3 linked regions of the Diceros bicornis minor genome follow. The protein of the gene in region 2 interacts with the protein of the main gene of each other region in a pairwise test. Links are inferred from orthologs where the notes say so. Each region holds a gene or a part of one and is shown on either strand. Other genes may lie near its edges.

What was found.
Region 1: the proteins of NTAQ1 (region 2) and nucleoside diphosphate kinase A 1 interact in binary tests that used the Homo sapiens proteins (3 or more experiments, as listed by UniProt). The two-hybrid records come from large-scale screens. The link is inferred for Diceros bicornis minor from reciprocal best matches to the Homo sapiens genes NTAQ1 and NME1.
Region 3: the proteins of NTAQ1 (region 2) and CDA interact in binary tests that used the Homo sapiens proteins (3 or more experiments, as listed by UniProt). The two-hybrid records come from large-scale screens. The link is inferred for Diceros bicornis minor from reciprocal best matches to the Homo sapiens genes NTAQ1 and CDA.

Annotation. Positions count from the first base shown.
Region 1 is NC_080757.1:35,293,793-35,301,315, forward strand, and holds the start of nucleoside diphosphate kinase A 1, read right to left. Parts: upstream 3,005-7,523; 5' UTR 2,908-3,004; intron 2,702-2,907; exon of another isoform or gene 2,631-2,701; intron 1-2,630. UniProt on the Homo sapiens protein: Major role in the synthesis of nucleoside triphosphates other than ATP. The ATP gamma phosphate is transferred to the NDP beta phosphate via a ping-pong mechanism, using a phosphorylated active-site intermediate.
Region 2 is NC_080760.1:38,988,572-38,996,428, reverse strand, and holds the start of NTAQ1 (protein N-terminal glutamine amidohydrolase), read right to left. Parts: upstream 3,012-7,857; 5' UTR 2,918-3,011; coding exon 2,829-2,917; intron 1-2,828. UniProt on the Homo sapiens protein: Mediates the side-chain deamidation of N-terminal glutamine residues to glutamate, an important step in N-end rule pathway of protein degradation.
Region 3 is NC_080752.1:37,612,292-37,620,288, reverse strand, and holds the start of CDA (cytidine deaminase), read right to left. Parts: upstream 3,005-7,997; 5' UTR 2,960-3,004; coding exon 2,806-2,959; intron 1-2,805. UniProt on the Homo sapiens protein: This enzyme scavenges exogenous and endogenous cytidine and 2'-deoxycytidine for UMP synthesis.

The DNA of each region.
Region 1 (7,523 bases), on a different chromosome or scaffold from region 2:
GGAAAGAAACAGCACTGAATATCCTGCCTACCTCACTATCCCTCAAGCAGATTATCCCACAAAGCTGGTTTAAATCTGTCACGTCAACTCCAAGTCTCTCTAGTAAAAACCCAGTTCCTCCTCAGGCCCTGCATTTATGAACCCATATCCCAGAGTGGGGAAGGGTCCAAGAGCAGGGGCTAGTTATTTCTAACCCATTTGACTTAATGAGCTTCTATTGAGCATCTGCTGTGTACTCAATACTGTGGCAGAACCCCAGTAGGAGATTTTAAAAAAAGACACTATCTTCTCAGTTATCCAGATGAGGAAAACTGCACTGATAATGTGACAGTGACATCTGGTACGAGGCAGTATGAAGTACAGTTTGATCTACTGCCAGTCATGGTATTAGAACCAAAAGGGGTTTTAGAGATGATTTCCCCTTCGTTTTACAAATGAGGAAACAGATTCAGAACACCAGAATGAGGACCAAAATCCCTATTTCCAATTTTGCATGGACCAAAAGCCCTATGCAATTTACGCCACATCATAAGATGTAATGAATAATCTGACTAATAAATGGAGGATTGTGAACTAGAGCCGTCAATAATATCTGATCTAGAACATCATGGTGGAAGGAAATCTAGAGACCGTCTATTCCAGACCTTTCCTTTTACAAAGAAGACTGGGTTCACGACCTGCTCTGTCTCCACCAGATGAGAAAGGAGGCCCTCACCTTGAAAGACAGTCCCTAATGTGGAGAGCAGCACCACCTCCTGGCTCCACCATCCTGGACTTCAGTTGTTAACCTCTTATTATAGCACCTTAATATATTTGAATGTTGTGTTTGTGTGTCTGTCTCCCCACTGGTCTACAGCCTGTATGCAGGTAGCCTCCCCTTATCTGCGGGAGATATGTTCCGAGACCCCCAATGGATGCCTGAAACCGAGGATAGTACCAAACAATATACAGGCATACCTCCAAGATACTGCAGCTTCAGTCCCAGACCACGGCAACAAAGCAAAAATTGCAATAAAGCGAGCCACGGGAATTTTTTGGTTTCCTAACGCATATAAAAGTTATGTTTACACTATACTGTAGTCTATTAAGTGTGCAATAGCATTATGTCTAAAAAAGCAATGTATACACCTCAATCAAAAAAATACTTTATGGCCAAAAGATGCTAACCATCATCTGAGCCTCCGGTGAGTCGTAATCTTTTTGCTGGTGGAGGGTCTTGTAAAAAACACATAAATAAAACAAAGTGCAATAAAACGAGGTATGCCTATGTATACTATGCTTTGTCCTATGTATACATACTTACGCTAAAGTTTGATAAGTTAGGCACACTAAGAGATTAACAACCATAACTAATAAGAAAATAGAACAATTATAACAATATACTGCAGTAAAAGTTATGTGAACGTGGTCTGTCGCTCTAAATATCTTATCGTACTGTACTGCACAGAAGAGCCGGGTTTCATCGCAATTGAAGACTTGCTTGGGCTGGTATCCTTGCTGCTTAATCAGCTTCTTCAACTCTGCCGGAAGCGTGGCAGCGGCTTCTTCATCAGCAGGCGCAGCCTCTCCAGTAATTTTTATATTTCTCAGTCCAAACCTAGTCCTGAATCTGTGTAACCATCCCTTACTCGCAGTAAATGTCTTGTTCTCACTTGTTTCAGGGGATCCCTTGCTGAAGTCTTCGTACAGGCTCAACGCTTTCTGGCGCAACATGTTGCCATCCAGCGGAACACATTTCCTGTTCATGTCTTCCACCCACAAACTTAAAGCCTTTTCCATCTTAACTAAGCATTTCCCACGCACTGTGGCCGTCACTTTTGCAGTTTGAGGTGCGACAGCAAAACTAGCCCGAATTTCTTTTTCCTTCTTCACGATTTCACGGATGGAAGATTCGTTCTTACCGTAGATCTTAGCAACCTCGGCATACGATTTTTTTTCTTTCCTTATTAAGTCCAGAACTTTCACCTTTTCACTTAAAGGAAGCACTTTTCGGCTTCTCTTTGGCGCATTCGAATTGCCAACGCCGCTATTCTTGCGCTTTGGGGCCATCATTAAGTAAAATAAGTGTTACTTGAACTCAAGCACCCGATGCCGCCTCAGTCGATCTGATAACCGAGAGGGCCACTAAGTGACTAATGCGGGTAGCATATTACAGCGTGGGTCCGCTGGACAAAAGGAGGATTCACATCGCGGCAGGACAGCGCGAGATTTCACCACGCTACTTAGAAGGGCGGGCAATTTAAATCTTATGAATTGTCTATTTCTGGAATTTTCCATGTAATATTTTCAGACGGAGGTTGACCGCGGGTCACTGAAACCTCGGAAAGCGAATCCGTGGTTAAGGGGAGACTACTGAACAGGGATGGTTTACTCCTCTCTCTGTCCCTGGTACCAAGCCACAGGGCCTAGCACTCAATAAGAGCAAAAAAAAAGTCTTCAATGATCTTGACCCTGCCCCTCGAAGAAAAAGAGGCAAAGCCCCAGGAGTGGCGGAGAACTCCCGATGGAAGCTGGAAACAGCATGGATTCCCCAGGAGGAAACGGGGCTAGGAGCCAGAAATTGTCCCTATCAACGTCCCTCCACACCCACGCCGGCACACACATCTGTCATTCATTCTGCAAGCACTTACTGAGCACCACCTCCGTGCCCAGCACTGCAGAGGACAGAGACAAATAAGGCACCACTCCTGTCCTTGCGGCCTGATGGGAAAGGCAGCCAGGACAAAGGCGAGTCCACGTGGCGCGGGACGTGCGCTGACAGGCTGGCACCTGCCGCAGGCGCTCCCGCCCTGCCCTCCCATCCGATCCCCTCCCACCTCTCGGAGCAGAACTCACCCGACCTCTCCACTTCCCCCTCCCCCGACCCCACTCCTCTCCCTCTCCTCTCAGAACCCGATCCCCTCTCACCCCTCCAGCTGCTCGGGATTCACCTCCGCCTGCTGCCCCCGGCACCGGAAACCTGCCCGGCCCCACGTGGTTGCCGGCAGCCGGACGCGCGGAACGCCTCTGCCCAGATCGGCTGCCGGAGAGCGCCTTTTGCAAAACACCACTCGCCCGCGCTTCCTCCTGTGAGCCGGCTGTCATTCTAGGGAGCAACTGCCCCATGTTTAACTTCCGGCCCTGGTCTTGCATGCTCTTCCGGCAAGCTCCCTGTTTTTTAAGATTCTGTGACTCACTTCCTTCGTTCTCCAGCAAATTGGCTTCCCGAGAGGTGGCGCTCGCGAGCGCCTGACCTGAAAGGAGACAAGTCGCTCTCGCTTGACGTGTCCTCATTCTTTCCAGCCTGTCAAGCAATGAGTTCTTAATTGAGTACTTACTCGGTGCCAGGCCGTAGTCCAGGGTCTGGGGCTATAGCAGTAAACTCTTCTGTGGCATCTGGTGGGGTTGGGAATGGGGGCAAACAATAAACAAACGAGCAAATCAATACGTAATGTAGTGCATTATGTAGATGCTGCTAAAAAAAAGCAAGGCAAGGGGGAAAGATTGAAGGAGTAAACTACTTTGCAAGATTGGCTGGGAAATCTCTGACGAAGTGACAATAGAACAGACCAGCATGAAGTGAGGGAGCAAGTCCGCTGGTTGTCTGAGGCCGAGAATTACAGGGGCAAGGGGTGGCAGAAAATGCGGTTGCAGAGGGGCCGGATTATGTTGGGGTGGGAAGCCACTGGAGGGTTTTGAACAGGGCATGACATCCTCTGATACACATTTAAAAAAGTCATTCTGGGGGCCGGCCCGGTGGCGCAAGCGGTTAAGTGCGCGCGCTCCGCTGCGGCGGCCCGGGGTTCGCTGGTTCGGATCCCGGGCGCGCACCAACGCACTGCTTGGCAAGCCATGCTGTGGCGGCGTCCCATATAAAGTGGAGGAAGATGGGCACAGATGTTAGCCCAGGGCCGTCTTCCTCAGCAAAAAAAGAGGAGGATTGGCGGATGTTAGCACAGGGCTGATCTCCTCACAAAAAAAAAAAAAAAAAAGTCATTCTGACTGCTGTATGAGGAATGGATGGAATAAGGTACAAAAGTGGAATCAGAAGTCTTTTCAACAAATGGTGCTGGAGCAGTTGGACATCTATAGGCCAAAAAAAGAGAACCTCCTCCTAAACCTCCTACCTTAAACAAAAATTCACTCAAAATGGATCATAAACTTAAATGTAAAATATAAAAGTATAAAATGTTTAGGAAAAAAACTTCAGTACTGTATTGTATATTTGAAAGTTGCTAAGAGAGTAGATCTTAAACACTCTCATCACAAAAAACAATTTGTAGGGGCCTGCCGGTGGCGCAGTGCAGGTGCTCCGCTTCAGCGGCCTGGGTTCTCCAGTTCGGATCCTGGGGGCGCACCCAGTTGCGCACCGACACACCGCTTGTCAAGCCACACTGTGGCGGCGTCCCATATAAAGTAGAGGAAGATGGGCACGGATGTTAGCCCAGGGCCAATCTTCCTCAGCAAAAAGAGGAGGATTGGCATCTGATGTTTGCTCAGGGCTAATCTTCCTCACACACGCACAAAAAATTTGTAACTATGTGTAGTGATGGCTGTTAGCTAGACTTTTTGTGGTGATCATTTAGCAATATATACAAACATCGAATCATTATGTTGTACACCTGAAACTAATATAATGCTATATGTTAATTATATCTCAATTAAAAAAAGAAGGGCCAGCCCCGTGGCTTAGCGATTAAGTGTGTGCGCTCTGCTACTGGCGGCCCGGGTTCAGATCCTGGGCGCACACTGACGCACCGCTTCTCCAGCCTGTAGCCGTGTCCCACATACAGCAACTAGAAGGATGTGCAGCTATGACATACAATTATCTACTGGGGCTCTGGAGGAATAAATAAATAAAAATAATTATAAAAAAAAAAAGAAAAAAATCTTTTTTGAGAGCTAGGCAAAGAGTTTTTAGACTTGCCGCCCAAAGCACAATCCATTAAAAAGGAAAAAGTTGATAAATTGGACCTTATCAAAATTAAAAACTTTTGTTCTTTGAAAGACCCTGTGAAGAGGATGAAAAAACAAGCTACAAAGTGGGAGAAAATATTTACAAACCACATATCCAACAAAAGCCTTGTATCTAGAATATATAAAGAACTCTCACAACTCAACAGTAAAAAAAAAAAAATCCAATAAGAAAATGAGCAAAAGACAGGAATAGACATTTCACTGAAAAGGATATGCAGATGACAAATAAGCACATGAAAAGATGTTCAACATCATTAGCCACGAAGGAAATGCAAATTAAAACCACAACGAGATATCACTACACACTTGTTATAATGGCTGAAATGAAAAAATAGTGACAACGGCAAATGCTGTCGAGGAGGAGGAACAGGATCCAGTCATACAATGCTGATGGGAATGTAAAATGGTACAGTCCCTCTGGAAAAGTCTGGCAGTTTCTTATAAAACGTAACATGTGCTTACCATATGACCCAGCAATTGCACTCTTGGGCGTTTATCCCAGAGAAATTAAGACTTATGTTCTATTCACACAAAAACCTGTGCACAAATGTTCATAGCAACTTTATTTGCAATAGCTAAAAACTGGAAACAACCCAAACATCCATCAAATGAATGCTTACGCAAACTGTGGTCCATCCATACCATGGAACACTACTCAACAATAAAAAAAGAAAAGAACTATTGATACAGGCAGCAACTTGGATAGATCTCAAGAGAATTATGCTGAGTGAAAAAAGCCAATTACAAGAAATTACATACTGTATTATTGCATTTATATAACATTCTTGAAATAACAAAATTATGGAAATGAAGAATAGATTAGTGGTTGTCAGGAGTTAGGGATGAGGGAGAGGGCGTGGTGCCTAAAGGGGTAACACAAGGGAGTCTTTTGGTGATGGAATAGTTCCGTATCTTGATTGTGGTGGTAGTTACGCCAATCTACACGTGACAAAGCTGCATAGAACTATACACACACACACACACAAATGAGTGCATGTAAAACTATAGACATCTGAATAAATTCTGTGGATGATAACAATGTCACTTTCCTGGTTTTGATATTGTACTATAGTTATGCAAGATGTTACCATTAGGAGACACTAGGTGAAGGGTACATAGGACCTCCTTGTACATATTTTTTTTGCAACTTCCCATGAATCTATAATTATTTCAAAATTTAAAAAAATTTTAAGCAGAACCAGGAAAACTGGTGGAGACTACAGTAGTAGTCCAAGCGGGAGAGGATGGTGGTTTGAACAGGTGGTGACCAAGGAAAGGGAGACAAGTGGCTAGTTACCAGCTACGTATTTAAGGTTGAGCCCATGGGTCATGATGACGGATAGGATGTGGGACATGAATGAAAGAAAAATAGATGTTGGTTCCCAGTTTTCTTTTTCCTTTTTGGGGGGGAGGGGTGCGTTAAATATCAGTCTGATAGAATTATTTACAAAGCTCCTTTTTAGTGGTTGGGGTCCACCATACTAGTGCTTCTAAAACCTCTATGTAAAAACGAGTCACCTGGGGATTTGTTAAAGTGCAAATTCTGACTCACTAGGTCCGGGATGGAGACTGAGAGTTTGATGATTCCAATGCTGTTGATTGATAGACTCTACAATACCATATCCTAGAGCCAGGTTCTTTTAAGTTGATGATTTAAGCCTTACTAGGTGGGGAGTGTCTTGCCCAGGCAGTTGCTGGAGAAGGGAGATAGGCAATACAAAACAGGAAGGTCTCATTTCTTCCTGGAAGCCATCCTAATTTCATGACTCAGCCTAACCTTCCTTTCCCAACCCTACACACAACCCTCCAGGCTTCCACAGTTAAATGTTTATGCAAACAAAATCAGAAAACAATAAGAATTTAAGGCTAAAAATAATGTTAATGAGCATATGGACCAATCCCTTCTCCAGAAACTTTAGCAAGGGTTTCAGTCTCTGCTTGAAACCTCCAAGAATGGGAATTTACTACCTTAGACATCAGGATCACTGGCTTTCCACCCTCCCCTGGCTAAAAAAAAAAAAAAGTGCTGCTAATCGAATATAGTCACCCCCCAAAATAATAGGAGTAATGTTTGGTGAACTGCTCTAATGATACCAACTACTGTGGAGAGAGCAAGAGTGGTCACCGGGCTGCCTTGCTAGAGTAGCGGAAAGATTTTACAGAGGAGGTAGAAGTTGGATACACAAAAAGAAGATGGTAAATAGATAAGTCCGGAGGTATTGGGAGATCAGGAAAATAGCCAAGAGCAAAGGATGCAAGCAGAAAAAAATAGAAAATATCTGAGAAACTGATTAGATGCTCCTAATAGAGGGCTATGGAATAGTGGGGAAAAAGACTACCAGTTTAGTGACAAGCCTTGAATGCTAGTCTAAGAAGCTGAGACCTTTGGCTGTAGTTAATGGAAAGTCATTGAAGCTTTGGAGATAGAACAGTGACGTGAGAAACGTCTTAAAATTCTAGAACTCAAAAAAACTGTCGAGGGGCTGGCCCGATGGTGTAGTGGTTAAGTTCGCACGCTCTGCTTCAGTGGCCTGGGGTTCGCAGTTTCAGATCCCAGGCATGCACCC
Region 2 (7,857 bases):
GTTGGGAGTCACTGTTCCCAGATTTGGTGTCAGTTCTGGTACCCATTTAACCGGTAAAAAAAAAAAAAAAAAAAAAAAAGTCGGGGGGTGATGATGATAATGTCTCAACCTGTCAGTTGATTATATTGGTAGCAGAAAGGCTAACAAAGCAGCATTAGAGCTGAGATTCTGCAAGGGTTACTGGCGATGGGCTGAGGTCAGAGAAGTATGCAGAAGGGGAGGATCCCTGGCACACAGGAGGTGCTCAACAAACGTTTGAAAAATACAAAACAATTACAACAGAATCAGAGTGCTCTGCAAACCACACAGTGTGACACAAATACTAGCTACCACTATTGTCCTTAAGCTGGGCGTCTCTCAAAGATAAGCAGCATCTGACAGAAGCTAACAGAAGTAGAGAGGAGGCATTTATTTCAAGTTAGAAGAACCCACAAGAGCAAACACAGTAAGGTGTACCTATCTGATGTGTTCAGACAGGGCAGAGCACTGGTTCTCAATGAGAGGTGACTTTGCTGCCCAGGTGACATTTGGCAATGTCTGGAGACATTTTTGGTTGTCATAAATTGGGAGAGAGTGCTATGGGCCTCTAGTGTCTAGAGGAAAGGGATGCTGCTACACATCCTACAATGCACAGAAGAGACCCCCACAACAGAGAATTAACACGCTCCAAAGGTCAACAGAGCCAAGGTTGAGAAACCCTGGGGTAGAGCAGCAAAGGCAGGTTCAAAATGAGGTTGGAGGAACAGATGGTGACCAGATCTTGGAGGGCCTGCCATGCTCAGGTGATAAACTTTATTGTCTATGTCTGTACTCCTTGAAATGTGATCAACAGACTAGATTCAGACCCCTCCACTGTGCTGCTCCCACATCCAGACTTTCTGGGGTGGGACTCTAAGAGCTACATGTTTTACAAGCTGCCAGGTGATTCTCTACCACATTCAAATTTAGGACGGCTTTGAGCAGTGTGAAGCCAGCTAAAGTTAAAGACCTGACGGGATAAGGGCAAGCTAGGCAGGGAGGCCTGTTAGGAAGGACTGGAACAGGCCCCGACAGCTGAGGAGGGCCTGGCCTATGGCTGAAGGAATGAAAAGGAGATGATGTAAGAGACATTCATCTCCTACCATTCTTCCACCAATCGCTCCACTCCAACTGTGCCAGCCTCCTTGGTGTTCCTAGAATACTCACCGCACGCTTCCTTCTCAGAGCCTTTGCACCTGCTGCTTCTCCCACCTGGAATGATCTTCCTCCAATATCCACAAAGCTCCCGCCCTCTTCCTCTTCAGCTCTCTGTTCAAACATCACCTTATCAACTATGTCTTCCTTAAATACCCTAATACTGTAGTTTCACTAGAACACAGCCCTGCCCATTCATTCTGTCTATGACTGTATGAATCAGCATGAGTCACCATCCCTCACCTTGGTTTATTTTTCTCATAGCACTTAACACCACCCAAATATGGCTTACATGTTTTTGTTTGCAAAACCTAAGAACCATGAGATCTTACCAGGGAATCTGTCTGGTTGTTCACGGCTGTATCCCTAGTGCCTAGAATCATGCATCACACGCTCCAAGTGCCTAATAAACATTTATTGAATGAATGAATAAAACAATGCATGGACATTAGGGACACGAGCTAATAGGATTTAGGTGAGAGGCAGGGCAGAACCATGGACTCGAGCATTGCGGAGGTTCCGGTTTCGGCACTACCACTTGCTAGATGTGTGATCTTGGGCAAACAACAGGCCACTCTGTGGTTCAGTCATTTCATCAGTAAAATGAGGATAATGATAGTCACAGAACCTATCTCCCAGGCACGCATGGAAGCACTTGGCACTAGGCCTTTCCTTACATGCAGTCAGAGCTGAACAAATATTAAGCTCTTGGAGGCACTGGTTTGGTGACCAGCTGAAGGAGGGAAAAGTAGTTTTAGATGCCCCTAAGGTTTCTTGTGCAGGGACTGGAAATTGGGGAAGAAGTCATACTCAGGCAAGAGAAGGGTAGGTGTGGGAGCAAAAAGGACCAAGGCAGGAGGGGTGCCTCTGCCACAGACGTAGCCTAAACCAAGGGTACAGTGTGTGGACCCCAGAGCCAAACTCTGCATGTAAATCCCCATTCCTTCACTCACTAGCTATGTCCGTAGGCAAATTACTTGCACCCCTCTGTGCTTCAGTGTTCTCATCTTGAAAAGGTAGATAACAGTAGTCCTACCTCCTAGGGGCTCCTGTGGTTCAAATAATTAGTTTACACAAACCACTCAGAACAGTGCTTGGCATACAGCAAGTGATGTCTAAGTGTAACCTTTATCATAATGACAGCATAGTGGTTAACACGGTTTCTGGTACAAGAGGTCCCGAACTGGATTCCTGGCTGCTCCTAGCTGGGTGACCTTGGCAAAGTTACTGCAAAATCTCCGTGCCCCCATTCTTTTTCAAAATTAAAATGACCTTCACATCAATGTGAAACCACACAGGCTGCAACAGAGTTAATTTCCGAAGGCTCTCCGCGCTCCACCCTCGGCCTCCAACTCCCCTTCCTGGCCCCCAAGCGCTGAGATCTGCTGAGAAACGTCCCAGACAAAAGCGCCAGGCAGAAGTAATGCACCACCGACCCTACCACGCCTGGCGAATCCGCCCCCCAATCCAAATGCCCACGCTCTGCTCCAGACGCGAGAGCTGCAATTCCCGCTCCCTCCTCCCCTCAAACCGCAAACCAGCCAGTCGAGGCCCCGAGCGCCCCCGGGGAGGGGCCGGGAAGAGGCGGGGCCCGGCTGCGACAGCGCGGCCGAGGGAGCCCGGGAGATGCGGGGGCTGCGCCCGCGCCCCCTCACCAGTAGCAGCTGTTGTAGACACAGGCGTCCCGCGGGGGGCTGGCCGGCTGGTAGTGGGCGGCTGCAGCAGCGGAGACACCCCCCTCCATGGCGGGCTAGCTTGGGTCGGGGCACCCGCTAAAGGCAGACCGACTGGAACAGCCCCCTGGCCGGCCTCGGGGAGGAGCCAGCGTACAGCAGCCCGCGCGGGTTCTCGGTGCGGAGTGGGCGGAGCCTGGGGGGGTGGCCGCTGCTGCAGTTCCCGGGGTAGGCGGGGCCGGGGCAGGGCGAACGGCGCATTTCCCCGCGCGCGAGGCCCTGGCGGGCGGTGCAAATTCCGGAGGGCGGAGCCTGGGCGGGACGCACCGCGCAGGTTCCGGAAGGGTGGAGCCAGGGCGAAGTGGGCGGATCTGGGGTGGGTGAGCGGCGTGAGTTCCCAGTGGGCGGAGCCCGGGACCAGGAGGACCGCGTGTTTCGAGTAGGCGGAGCCCGGCGAGGTGGGTGGAGTCAGGGGCGGGGCGGCGCTGGTGCCTGCTGAGGCGGGGCCGGCAGTGCTAGGGGTGTCGGTAACCGGGAGGGTCCGGGCGGCTGGGGGAGATGAGAGGTCAGTGGCAGGTGGCTTGGAGAAATGTCAGGGGAGGGCTTGGAGTTGGTAAGCCCTTGGACCCTGCACGGCACTTCGTGAGTCTCCCGGAGGAGTCTGAGACCCATCTTCCAGCCTGGGGCGGGTTGCCAGTTGTGGAGGAACCGGATGAGACGCCGAAGACTCGACGTGTGCGAGTGAAATAAGCGAACCTTGTGTGTGAAAAACGACGCTTGAGCGCTTGGAGCCTAGAGTCCGCGGGGAGCTGGGGAGGGAGGAGGGAGCGGGGAGGTTAATTCCAAATACTTCCTCATCAAGGGCGGTTTCAGAGAAGGCTATCACCCCAAAATCTGGCCGTATTGTAACATTTTTTTAAATAGGAAAATTGTACGTACTGGCTCAGAAAGATACGTTGTTTCCTTGATATAGTAAGTAAAAAAAAGTTGAAAAAGAGTCGCGTGGTATCCATTTTGTGTTAATCATGTATTTGTTTATTTGCTGGCAGTCTGGGAGGAAGGACACCAAATTGTTAAAACAGTGTTTATTTCTGGTGAATGAATGGTATGGAGGACTTTCACTTTATAGCCTTCTGAATTGCCTATATTTGCAAAGGTCATATATAGCTGATCAGGGTACTTCCCATTATAAAAACTGAAATTCTTAGGTTGGTTTATAGGCTGTCTACAGATCTCTTCAGTCTCGTGAGTTCTAAAGTACATAAATCCTAAAGACTGAGCATAAATCCTCGTGTTGGTTATCGATTTATTGCATCTCAGCTCTGAATACACACTTCCACATGGGGTTGACTATGATAGGGGCCAGCCAAGTGGCTCCGTGGCCTGTTGGTTAAGTTTGGCATCCTTTGCTTCCCTGGCCTGGGTTGGGTTCCCAGCAGGGATCTTCCTCAAGCAAAAAAAGAGGAAGATCAGCAACAGATGTTACTTCAGGGAGACTCTTCCTCAGCAAAAACAAAACAAAACAAAAGAAGTAACTATGATATAAGTGTAGCTATAAGATATAAGGAAACTCTATATGGTACCTAGGGCTGGTGAAGAGTACTTAAGAAGGACAAATTTATCAACAACAAAAAAACTTAACAACCCAATTAAAAAACAAGCAAAAGACCTGAATAGACATTTCTCCCAAGAAGATATACAGGTGGCCAACAGGCACATGAAAAGATGTTCAACATCATTAACTATCAGGGAAATGCAAATCAAAACTACAATGAGAATGGCTATAATTAACAAGACAGGAAACAACATGTGTTGGAGAGGATGTGGAGAGAAGGGAACTCTCATACACTGCTGGTGGGAGTGCAAACTGGTGCAGCCACTATGGAAAACAGTATAGAGAGTCCTCAACAAATTAAGGATAGAACTACCATATGAGCCAGCTATTCCATTGCTGGGTATTTATCCAAAGAACATGAAAACACGAATGCATAAAGATACATGCAGCCCTGTGTTCATTGCAGCATTATTCAAGACTTGGAAGCAACCTAAATGCCCATCAAGGGACGAATGGATAAAGATGATGTGGTATATATACACAACGGAATACTACTCAGCCATAAGAAACGATGAAATCTAGCCATTTGTGACAACATGGATGGACATTGTGAGTATTATGCTAAGCGAAATAAGTCAGAGGGAGAAGGTGAAATACCATATGACCTCACTCATAAGTAGAAGATAAAAACAACAACAAACAAATACATAGATACAAAGATTGGATTGGTGGTTACCAGAGGGGAAGGAAGGAGGGAGGAGGGCAAAAGGGATGATTAGGAACATGTGTATTTGCGATGGATTGCAATTAGTCTTTGGATGGTGAACATGATGTAATCTATGCAGAAATAGAAGTATAATGATGTAAACCTGAAATTTACACAATGTTATAAACCAATGTTACCACAATAAAAATAAAGAAAGCTTGATAAAACTATATATGTACTGGGCCGGCCCCGTGTTGTAGCAGTTAAGTGCACACGCTCGGCTGCTGGGGGCCCAGGTTCGGATCCTGGGTGCGCACCTATGCACCGCTTGTCAGGCCATGCTGTGGCGGCGTCCCATATAAAGTGGAGGAAGATGGGCACAGATGTTAGCCCAGGGCCAGTCTTCCTCAGCAAAAAGAGGAGGATTGGCATGGATGTTAGCTCAGGGCTGATCTTCCTCACAAAAAACAAAAAACAAAAAAACACCTATATATGTACCTCTCCAAAAAAAAAACAAAAAAGGGCAAATATGAAAGCGGTTTGGACCTCGTTGGAGAAGGCATGGGTTGGCTCCCAGATAGCAGAGAAGTTCACTGGTTTACCCAGGGTGGAGGTGGTCTGGAGTTGCGGGGCAAGCAATAGAGAAGGGGGTACAGGGCAGCCAGCAGTCTCTGCCATAATGTGCTTTCTTTATGCTTTAAACTTTCTCTTATAAATAGGAATTACTTTTTAAATTGAAAAAAATAGATCATATTTTAAATATTCATATGACTTCATGGTTGTGTTGTTGTTAGTGCCATGGAGTCGATTGTGACTCCTAGTGACCCTGTGTTCAGCAGAGTGGCACCCTACCTGGTCGTTTTGTTCCATCCTCTCACATTCCAGGTGGGTCAGGCAATGCTCTACTGCTATTCATAGGGTTTTCGTGGCCAGGTTCTTCTTCTTTGTCTCTCTTAGTCTGAAAACTCTGCTGAAACCTGCCCACCATGGGTGACTCTGCTGGTATTTTTGTGTGTGTGTGTGTGAGGAAGACCAGCACTGAGCTAGTATCTGATGCCAATCCTCCTCTTTTTGCCCAGGAAGATTGGCCCTGGTTAATCTTCCTCTACTTTATATGGGACACCGGCACAGCATGGCTTGACTAGCGGTGCATCAGTGCGCACCTGGGATCTGAACCTGCGAACCCTTGGGCAACCAAAGCGGAGCATGCGCACTTAACCACTATGCCACCGGGCCAGCACCCTCTGCTGATATTTGAAATCCCAGTGGCATAGCTTTCAGCATCATAGTAATACGCAGCTGCCACATTATGACAACCAACAGACGGGTGGTGGTGTTCCCTGACTGGGAAGCAAACCCAGGCCCAGGCCACTGTGGTGAGAGCACCAAATCTTAACTACTGGACCACCAGGGCATAGTAGAGACTATAAAAAGGGATATGGTTTCAGAGGAGTAGGAGGTGCTTAGAACCAGATTTTGACCTACAAACTCCAGTGATCTGGATGAGGAAGAAAGAAGAGATGCATTCAAGGAAGCCAATACCCAATGAAATTAGGATGTTAAAGGGCAGGAGTTTAGAGTAGGAGGAACACATAACAAAAGAAAGTATAAAAAGGGGCCACAGATGTGAAAGAGGAGATTCAGGAAGTCTACAGCACATAATACACCGAGGTTTAATAACAAAAGGGGGGTTTATTTTTTATCGGAGGAGGGAGTATTTTCAATGCTCAATATTAAGAGCTAGAAGAAAAAGGGAGAGATAATCCCATTGCCTGGGACCATATGATATGATGTGATCAGACAACTGAAAGGAAACAAGAATACCCAATGTCTGTTTTGCTTGCATTTTGTCTATCAAAGAAAGTGATTCTCAACCTTGAATGAATAAGGAAAATAGCAGTAAGAGGAAATTAAGACTAAGACGGGTACAGCGGTAGAAAGCACGAAATTGCCTTAAATGGGTTAAAAATCTTCAGACCCAGAAGAGTTATATCCCAGTGTACTGAAAGTGCTTTAGATTATGACCCCCAAATCCATAGATTTAGATTTTCTTATGGATCTTTGAGAAAATGATGGAGGAGATGACATAAGGCTGAATAAATACGACTACTTGCTGTCTTGAGTTTCATAAAAGGAAAAAAAATATGTATTCCAGACACTATACCCTGGAGAACTTGATGCCTATTCCCAGGAGGATTTGTGACCACGAAGAAAAAGTGATTATTTAGGGGGCCTTAGTGGTTTACCGAGCCCATTTCATGCCAAATGGACCTCATTTCGAGGAGGTTGTTGGAAAAATTAATTGATCATTGGAATAGGATTATAGCACAAGCAGTATAATTTGATTCCAAAAAACAGCTGGCCCGGTTTTATTAGTCCTGACTTGTTCGATTAAAAGTGAAGGCAGAAAGGCTGTTTATCAGCTCCTTTACCAGGAAGGACACTGAAGTGGCTCTCACAGTCAGAGGATGAGCTGCTGAAACTAGGGTCTCAAGGGACCAAAAAGCAGAACACAGTTCCCCAGGCCTTCTTTCTCCCATCTCTCAGTCTGTTTCTCAGTGCTTGGCTTCATTCGGAGGTGACTTCACTTCTTGCTGTGGGGAGGATGGCTGCTGGCAGTCCCGTATTCATATTTTCCAGGCTGGGCAGCCCCAGTGGAATGAGAAAACTTCTTTTTCCTCATAGCAATCACACAGAGTGACTTGTACCTTTATCTTTTACATTTCTGTACTGCTTGAATTTTTCACATG
Region 3 (7,997 bases), on a different chromosome or scaffold from region 2:
TACCGAGTGCTTAGTGAGTGCTCAATCCATCGTGTCTCTGAATGTTGCTGTTGGTCCCTGCCCATCATGCCCCCAGCATAATCCAGCTCTGCCTTCAGCTTCCCACCTCGGTCCGTGCCTCATCACTCCCCCGGCCCACCTCACTGGAAGTCCTAGAACCATATTCCTTTCCTTTATTTCTAATACTGCCAATCCCAGGCCCGGTCCATTTGTCCCACACAATATCTCTGAGATCTTTCCTTGCTCTTCATTCCACCTGCTACTGTTCTAGTCCAAGCCGCTCATTCACGCGTTCACCGAAGCTTAACTGAGGATGTATTACAGGCCAGGAAATGCGCTGGCACAGGGGACAGGTCAGCAAACAAGACAGACATGGTCCCCCTGACACTCTTCCCTCTGCCCCAGCGCTCCTTGAGTACCTGTCAGACTAACTGTCCTCAAACACCACTTTCACGTTGCTCTTCTTCTTAGTAACGTTCCTGGGCTCTCTACTTCCTACCTCATCAAATCTCAATGTCTCTGTTTGGCCTTCAAAAGGCCTCCACGATCCGCTTCCCCCTCATCGTCATCATCATCATCATCGTCCAAGTAGAAGCAGCCATCATATGTGACCGTCTTACTGTGGGCCAGAAACCGTGCCAATCCCTTCATAGGCATTAGCTCCTACAAAGCCTCACAACCAGGCACGAGACTCAGCATTTTCAGTGACTGATGCAGCACAGGCTCCAAACGTCAGGGGGGACCCTGGCTGCCACGCCAGGCCACGCAAACCTGCTCTGTTCACAGCCATCCTGAAAAGCGGGCGTAATGATCCTCCGTTTGCTCACGTGTAAGCTGAGACTCAGAAGGGTCAAGGGTCTTGCCCAGGGTCACATAGCTGATAAACAGCAGCACCAGGATTCAAACCCAGGAGCCTCTAACTCCCGAGCTTCACCCCATCTCACAGGGCCTCCCTGAATCCACATTGCACAACCCTTTCTCTGGGGACACCAGGTCCTTCTCTGCAATTTAAATAGGCTTCACTCCTGCTCACCTCATTCATTCACTCCTATAATCATTGGCTGAGGATCCCACTTTGAGCTATGGCCTGTGCAAGAGGAGGGGACCTCCTTAAGGGCAGGGACTATGTCATTTCTGCTGTGATATCCCCAGAACCTGGTACGTTACCTAGCACATAATTGGTGCTCGGCAAATATTTGTGGAATGAATGAATCAATGCAAGGATGGGCAGGGCCCCTTCCTGTATACCGTCTGGAGGAGATGTGGAGGCATTGGGAAGAATCAGTAGCTGATTCCATGTTCATGGCCCTGGAGCCGTGGGGCAGCGTGGGTTGCAATGTTTAATACCTGTCTGAGCCACCAGGCCAAGCCTGAACTTCCACATGAGACTCAGAGATCCTTTGTTCCCCTCAGAGGAGCAGACTTCGGAGTCAGAGGAGCCCTGGGTTTGAATCCCAGTTCTTGCGAGTTAACCTCTTGGAGCCTCTTTCCTTCTCTGCAAAGTGGGGATGTAATAACCACCTTGCGGGGTTCTAAGGCTTAGATGGGTAACATTAGGCACGTTCCTTTCATGTATTAGGACTCACTCAAGGTTCCTTCTCCTGCTCAAAGATGTTTAAAACCCGGGTGACTCATGAAACTGACAGAACCTCAAAAGACAAGAGATAACATGAACATCAAGGAGAGCTATAGAAGGTGAGGCGGGGGCCGCAGCAGACTCACAGCTGAGTGGTGGTGGGGGCGAGTGGCTCACACCTGGCCCAGGGTGCTGGGGGTTACCAATTCGATGCACACATGTGAGTCTTTGCTCCTTTAACTACCTGCTGCCAAGCAGAGGGGGAGTTCTAGGCAGCAGGACTCGGTGCTCCCGTCCGTCCCTCTGTGCCAATTCTCATCTGCTCTGGGGTGGTGGTGGGAATGAGAGGCGTGGGGAGGGGCTTGGCTTCCCTGCCACCTCCACAGCATGTTCCCCACTGTCCTGAAATAGAATGCCCCTTAACTTAGCAAAAACAAGTGTGAAATTTTGTCCAAGTGAGCTTTTTTATAAAACCAACAAACCAAAGAAAAGTTGCTTAGGAACAGATTTGTGCTGACTCGGATTCCTGTCCCCCCCTCCCCAGGCTGGCACTCATTGCTGGTCACCCAAACCCAGCCTGGCTTCTTTCCTCCAAGACCCTCTGCAAGGCCCGCACCCCACAAACAAGTCACTTGACCTGGATTCCGGGCTTTCTCCATCCCTTAGCATGGTGGGTGACGGGAAAAAGCAGGGTTTTGGGGACCCCAGCCCTGGCTTCCACCACCAGCGCCCCGTGTGGCCTTCAGCAAGTCATGTCATCTCTCTGAGCCTCAGTTTCTTCATTGAAAAATGGGCATAACACCTAGGTCAGTGGGTCGGAGGTGAGGACTTGCTGATAGAACTTGTGGGAGCCTTAGAGGGTCCAGACACAGAGGAGGGCTCAGAAAGTATTAACCCTCTCCCTCCCCGCACACCAGGACTGCGGATGCCTCCCCTCCAGCTTGCTTCCTCATCCCACCCTTGCTTCCCAGTCCTCCAAGAATTGAAAGCCCCTAGATTTAAGCAGCAGATGAGTTTTCGGGGCTCCTTTACACCTTCAATCCCGCAGTCTGGGCCAGTGGGCAGGGCAGGGGTGAGTGGCAGCGTTACAGGGGATGCTCAGGGAGGAGGGGACAGAGCTGCTCTCTTCTCTGCCTGTGCCTTCTGTGTGTCCTTCCCACTTGTCCACTTGTCCTCTGACTTCCCCATCCAGGCTGCCAGGGATGGGGCCCCCGGGCGCCAGCCCTTACCCGAGAAGATCCTCCCGTCCCGGGTGAGGAGGGCGGCCCCCACAGGGAAGTGACTGTAGGGGCAGTAGGCTGACTTCTTGGCCTCCTGGGAGGAGAGCAGCAGCTGCTGGACCTGCTCGGGCTCCAGGGTGCAGGCGGGACGCTCCTGGGCCATGTCGGTTCCTGGGCTGCGGAGGAGAGGAAACAAGCTCGCCGTCTGCCTGAGCTGGGCCCCACTAAGACGGCAGCTCCTCCCCCCGGGTGTGTCCCTGCGGAGGGGCTGCCAGATGCCCGCCTGCGGGGATGCTGGGCGGGGCCCGCTCAGGGAGAGGAGTGTCCAGTAGTTCTGAGTCAGAGGGTGTGGTGTGTAAGGCTGAGCTAGTGTGTGTCCAGCATGGAAGGATGTGTGCTTCACACTCTCCCTTGGGACCACTCACACTGCTGCCTCACTGATGGGTGAGTGGGTCAGGGGACGGGTGCCACCATGCTGGGGGTGACTGTGGACACACACTCCTCAGAGGAGATGCTGTTGGGCGGGTCAGCATGAGGTCTAGGAAGTCCCAGCTCCAAGGGCTGAAACTCTCTGTTGAATGACTTCTTCTCTCTGTCACTGAGGGAAGGAGTGAGGCTGAAAGGGAGGGGCTGGGGCAGCCACATTCTTGAGACACATAGTGTGAGTGCAGCAATAAGATTGAGGAGCTTCCTTATTTCACCCATTCTCCTTCCAACTCCTCGCTGCCTCAACACAGAACTTAAAAAGTATCTCAGCTGGAGGGAACTTCAGAGATCATCTACCGGGGCCTTCTCCTATTTTTGTTGGCAAAATGAACACTGGGTTGGTGCTAAAAGAAATGGGTTTGCATCCTGGCTCCACCATTTTCCACATGTGTAATGGGTGGCAAGTTACGTGACCTCTCTAAGCCAGTTTCCTGGTCTCTACAGTGGGGATAGCGTTAATCTCTGTGCTACGTCCTCAGATCACAGAAGAGCTTGAGTGTGGGGGTTTGGTAGATCCTAGTTTGAATTCCAGTTCTGCCACTTATTAGCCGTATGACCTTGTGGAGGTCATACCACCCCTCTAAGCCTCAGTTTCCTCATCTGTAAAGTGGGTGCACTAACGGTATTTCACAGAGTTGTTGCGAGGATCGAATGAGGTAATGTGTATACAATGCATATGGTTGGAGGATCCTGTGACATCATGATGTTAGCACACTTTGTGGCTCCATGCGGATTGGGTTATTGTCATTAAATGATTTGGCTAAGATCACATAGGAAGGCAGAACAGTGTCCAGAGGTGTCCAAATGTCCCCAGACCCCCAGCAGGCAGGAGTAAATCAGCGGCTTCTCTGAGGGCTTGGATGGGGGGTGAGGAAGGGGAAGGGGGAACGGTAGGGGAGGGGGCAGAAAATGAGGCCGCGTCTCCAGGTTCTGCATGCTGACATCTCTGTGCTTTGCAGCCCAGCATCCCTGTGTCCTGCACCTTGGCCCCTCTGTGTCCTGGGCCTGGAGCTCTCAGCCACGTAGAGACCCTGCTGGGCCACTGTAGAGTTGGGCACTTTGCCTCATTTCCTCCTCCCCTCCCCTCCCTTCCCCCCTTCAGAATTCCCCCACCCCCTTTCTGCACATCCAGCCCTCAGAGAAGCAGCTGGTTCCCTCCTGCTTGCTATTGCATTTTCCTCCTGGATCTACACCTTTGGCATCTAGAGCAGTTTCCTGGATCTGAGGCAGGGCAGGCAGAGAAACCACTGGGAATGCTCTCCCGGTCTCCTCTATTCCTGCACTGCCCAGATGCCCTTTCCCCAGGGAAAGAAAGCAAAGGATGTCCTGGGACCATGTGTACCCACTCAACATGGGAATACTTCTAAGGCTTCTGGTGGCCAAGTATAACTACAACTGGGAAAAGGGGTGTGGTGCCCTGCTGGCCTGCCAGGCCTGTTCCTGCCCTGTCTTGACTCACCCCAGCTCTGCCCAGACCCAGGGCTGGACTCCTTGGCTCCCCAGTTACAGGAAAACTGGGATGACTTCCAGGCTAATTATGATGGCCGTTGGCACCTTTGAAGTTCTTTCCCGGCACATGGTAATAAATGGGGACAGCGCCCATTGCAAACTCCGCTGTATGGAGCTTGGGAGCCAGCAGTAGCTCTAGATTTCCTTATAGAAGGGGCTTGGGGTGGCCATCTGGATGGAAAGGGAGCATGGGCCTGGAGACTTTCTTAGAGCTAAGTTATAGATCAATAATATTAACAGAATTTTCTAAACATGCTTTAATCTCCACTTTATATAAAATTGAGAGAAATTAATTGCCCAAAGAATTAACTCAAAGAATAGGAATATCCAAGGAAGGTATTTTGAGTGGTGGTGGAGATTGTCAAGGGCCCAAAGTTCCCCCACCCCCATCCCCTAGGCCTTTCCTCTGTGAAGAGAACCACCCAGAGTCCCTGTGTTAGAGCTCAGATACCACCCACTCATTCATTCAATGAATAGTTACTCATAATAATAGCTAACTCTGCTTTAGCTCTTTCCATGTGCCAGGCCCTGTGCTAAATGCAGGACTTGAATTATTTCATGTAATCCTTACCACAAGGTACACACTGGCCATATTATTGCCTGCGTTTTACTGATGAGGACACTGAGCTCATGGGGATCAGAAATGGATCTCAAACCCGGGTTTGTCTGCCTCCATCCGAATCCTGGACTCTTGTCCATCCCTGAACTCATGCGGAGCGGGTATAACGGACTGGCAAATCCTCCTTCTGCCTCTTATTACCAGCTGGGTACCTAGGCAAGGTAGCTCATCGCTCTGTGCCCTGCTTTCCTCATTTATACAGTGAGACAACTCCAGGACCCACCTAGGGTGGCTTATGGTGACCGTAGCCTTACTCTGCTCGAGAAGGTTTCTCATTTCTTTTATTTCGTCCCCTTTAGGGGAGACCTCCTGATGGGCTGCCAGTCACTGTGCTTCCACTCCCTGGTGGGCCTAGGCAGTTGACACAGGATGGCCCATCAGAGACCTCACCTTTCTGCTGGGAATGTTGGTTTCTCCCACTGTGGTGGCTAAGCTAAGAGGATGTGACTATTGCTGACGGCCAGCTTGCCCTCCGGGTAGAGTGAGCCTGCTTGCAAAGTGAAGCCAGGTGGAGAGAGGCAGAGGTGAGAGGTGGAGGGAAAGAACCCTGATTTCCCTCTGAGTGCCTGGATCCAGCCATGCCTGAGGCATGCTTCTAGACTTTCCTTCTATTGAGCCAGTAATTCACTTCTTGCTTAAACTTTTTTAAGTTTTGTTTCTGTCAGCTCTATGGCATCTAGGCTAAAATACTACTTCCTAGGATTGTTGTAAAAATTGAGTGAGATGTTATATGTAAAGCTCTTAGCACAGTGACCGGCACGTGGTAAGTGCTCAACAAGTATTAGCTCCTATTATAATGAAAACTGTGTGCCAGGCCCTGTGCAGGGCACTAGAGAATCAGTTGAATGAGACTTGGTACCTGCCTTTGAGGAGCTCATACTCTAGTGAAGGAGACAGGCAAGTCAATAGATAGGTATAAAACACTATAACACACAATTAGGTACTGGGTCCTGTGACAATACTGAATAACTAATTATCTGGAGGGAGCGGTGGGGAGGTGGGCTGGAGAAAGCTTCCCAGATGACAGGAGGCTAAGAGGAGTCCTAAATGATGGCTGGATGTTCAGAGTGGACAATGTGGGTGTTATGGGTTGAATCATGCCCCCCCCCAAAAAAAGATATGTTGAAGTCCTAACCTCCAGTACCTCAGAATGTGACCTTATTTGGAAATAAGATCATTGCCGGTATAATTGGTTAAGATGAGGCCATACTGGAATATGGTGGGCCCCTAATCCAATATGACTGGTGTCCTCACAAGAAGATGGTCATGGAAGACACAGAGACACAGGGAGATTACCATGTGTAGATGGAGGCAGAGACTGCAGTAAGGCATCTACAAGCCAAGGAATGCCAAAGATTGATGGCCATTACCAGAAGGTAGGAGAGAGACATGGAACAGATTTTCCCTTACAGACTCGAAAGGAACCAACCCTGCTGACACCTTGATTTTGGATTTCCAGAATCTAGGACTGTGAGAGAAGAAATTTCTGTTGTTTTAAGCCACCCAGTTTGTGGTACTTTGTTATGGCGGTCCCAGGGAACTAATCCAGTGGGTATAGCAGATGCTGTCAGTGCCTCATCTACCCCCTTAGCCACCCCAGAGGCCACCTCCAGCTTTAGTGGATAGATCCTGGACATACTCATGGCTTCCTACCTTATGCATACCCTGGGCACAGGAGTGTGCTTAGCCCATGCATAGGGGAGGCCAGAAATGTCAGGGAGTTAACACTCCCTAGAGGGATTAGGATCCATAATACATCAAGAATTCCTAAAATCAGTAAGAAAAAGACAAACATCTCAATAGAATAGTAAGCAAAAGGCTTGAACAGGTATTTTACGGAAGAAATAGGGCTGGAAAGAACTTCTCTACAAATTTTCAAGTCTTCGAACTTGGCCACATAAAAATTAAGGAGTTTTGTTCAGTCAAGGACTTCATAGACAAAGCTAGCAGAAGGTTAAAAAAACTGAAAAAAAAATTTCGATGGCTAGAACAATAACAAACGAATAGCGTAGTGATTATGTAAGAAATTGACAGCAAATCAACAAGACACAGACAGGAAACTCTATAAAGAGATGGACAAAGGATATGAATGGGCAATTTATAGAAGGGGGAACCCAAATGGCAGGAAGTATTTGCCCAATTTCCTTATAGTCACAGAAATGAAAATAACACAATGAGTCACTTTACACCTATCAGAATGCCAAAAAGAAAAAAAACTAGGATGACGACAAGTGCAGGCAAAGATGAGGGGAGACTGGAACACTCACGTGCTGCTGCTGGGGTTTCAGACTAGTACAGCTTCCTGGAGAGCAATCTAGCAGGATTTAGGGAAATTAGGTATGCATTTACCTTGAGATTCAGTGTTCCCAGCCCTAGGTAAACAGAGACACTCACAAGGATCCATAAGGGGATTTGTATGAAGAAATTTTCTGCAAAGTTTTAAAGTTTTACTTTTGGGCCGGCCCCGTGGCTTGGCGGTTAAGTGCGCGCGCTCTGCTGCTGGTGGCCCAGGTTCGGATCCCGGGCGCGCACCAACGCACCGCTTCTCTGGCCATGCTGAGGCCGCGTCCCACATACAGCAACTAGA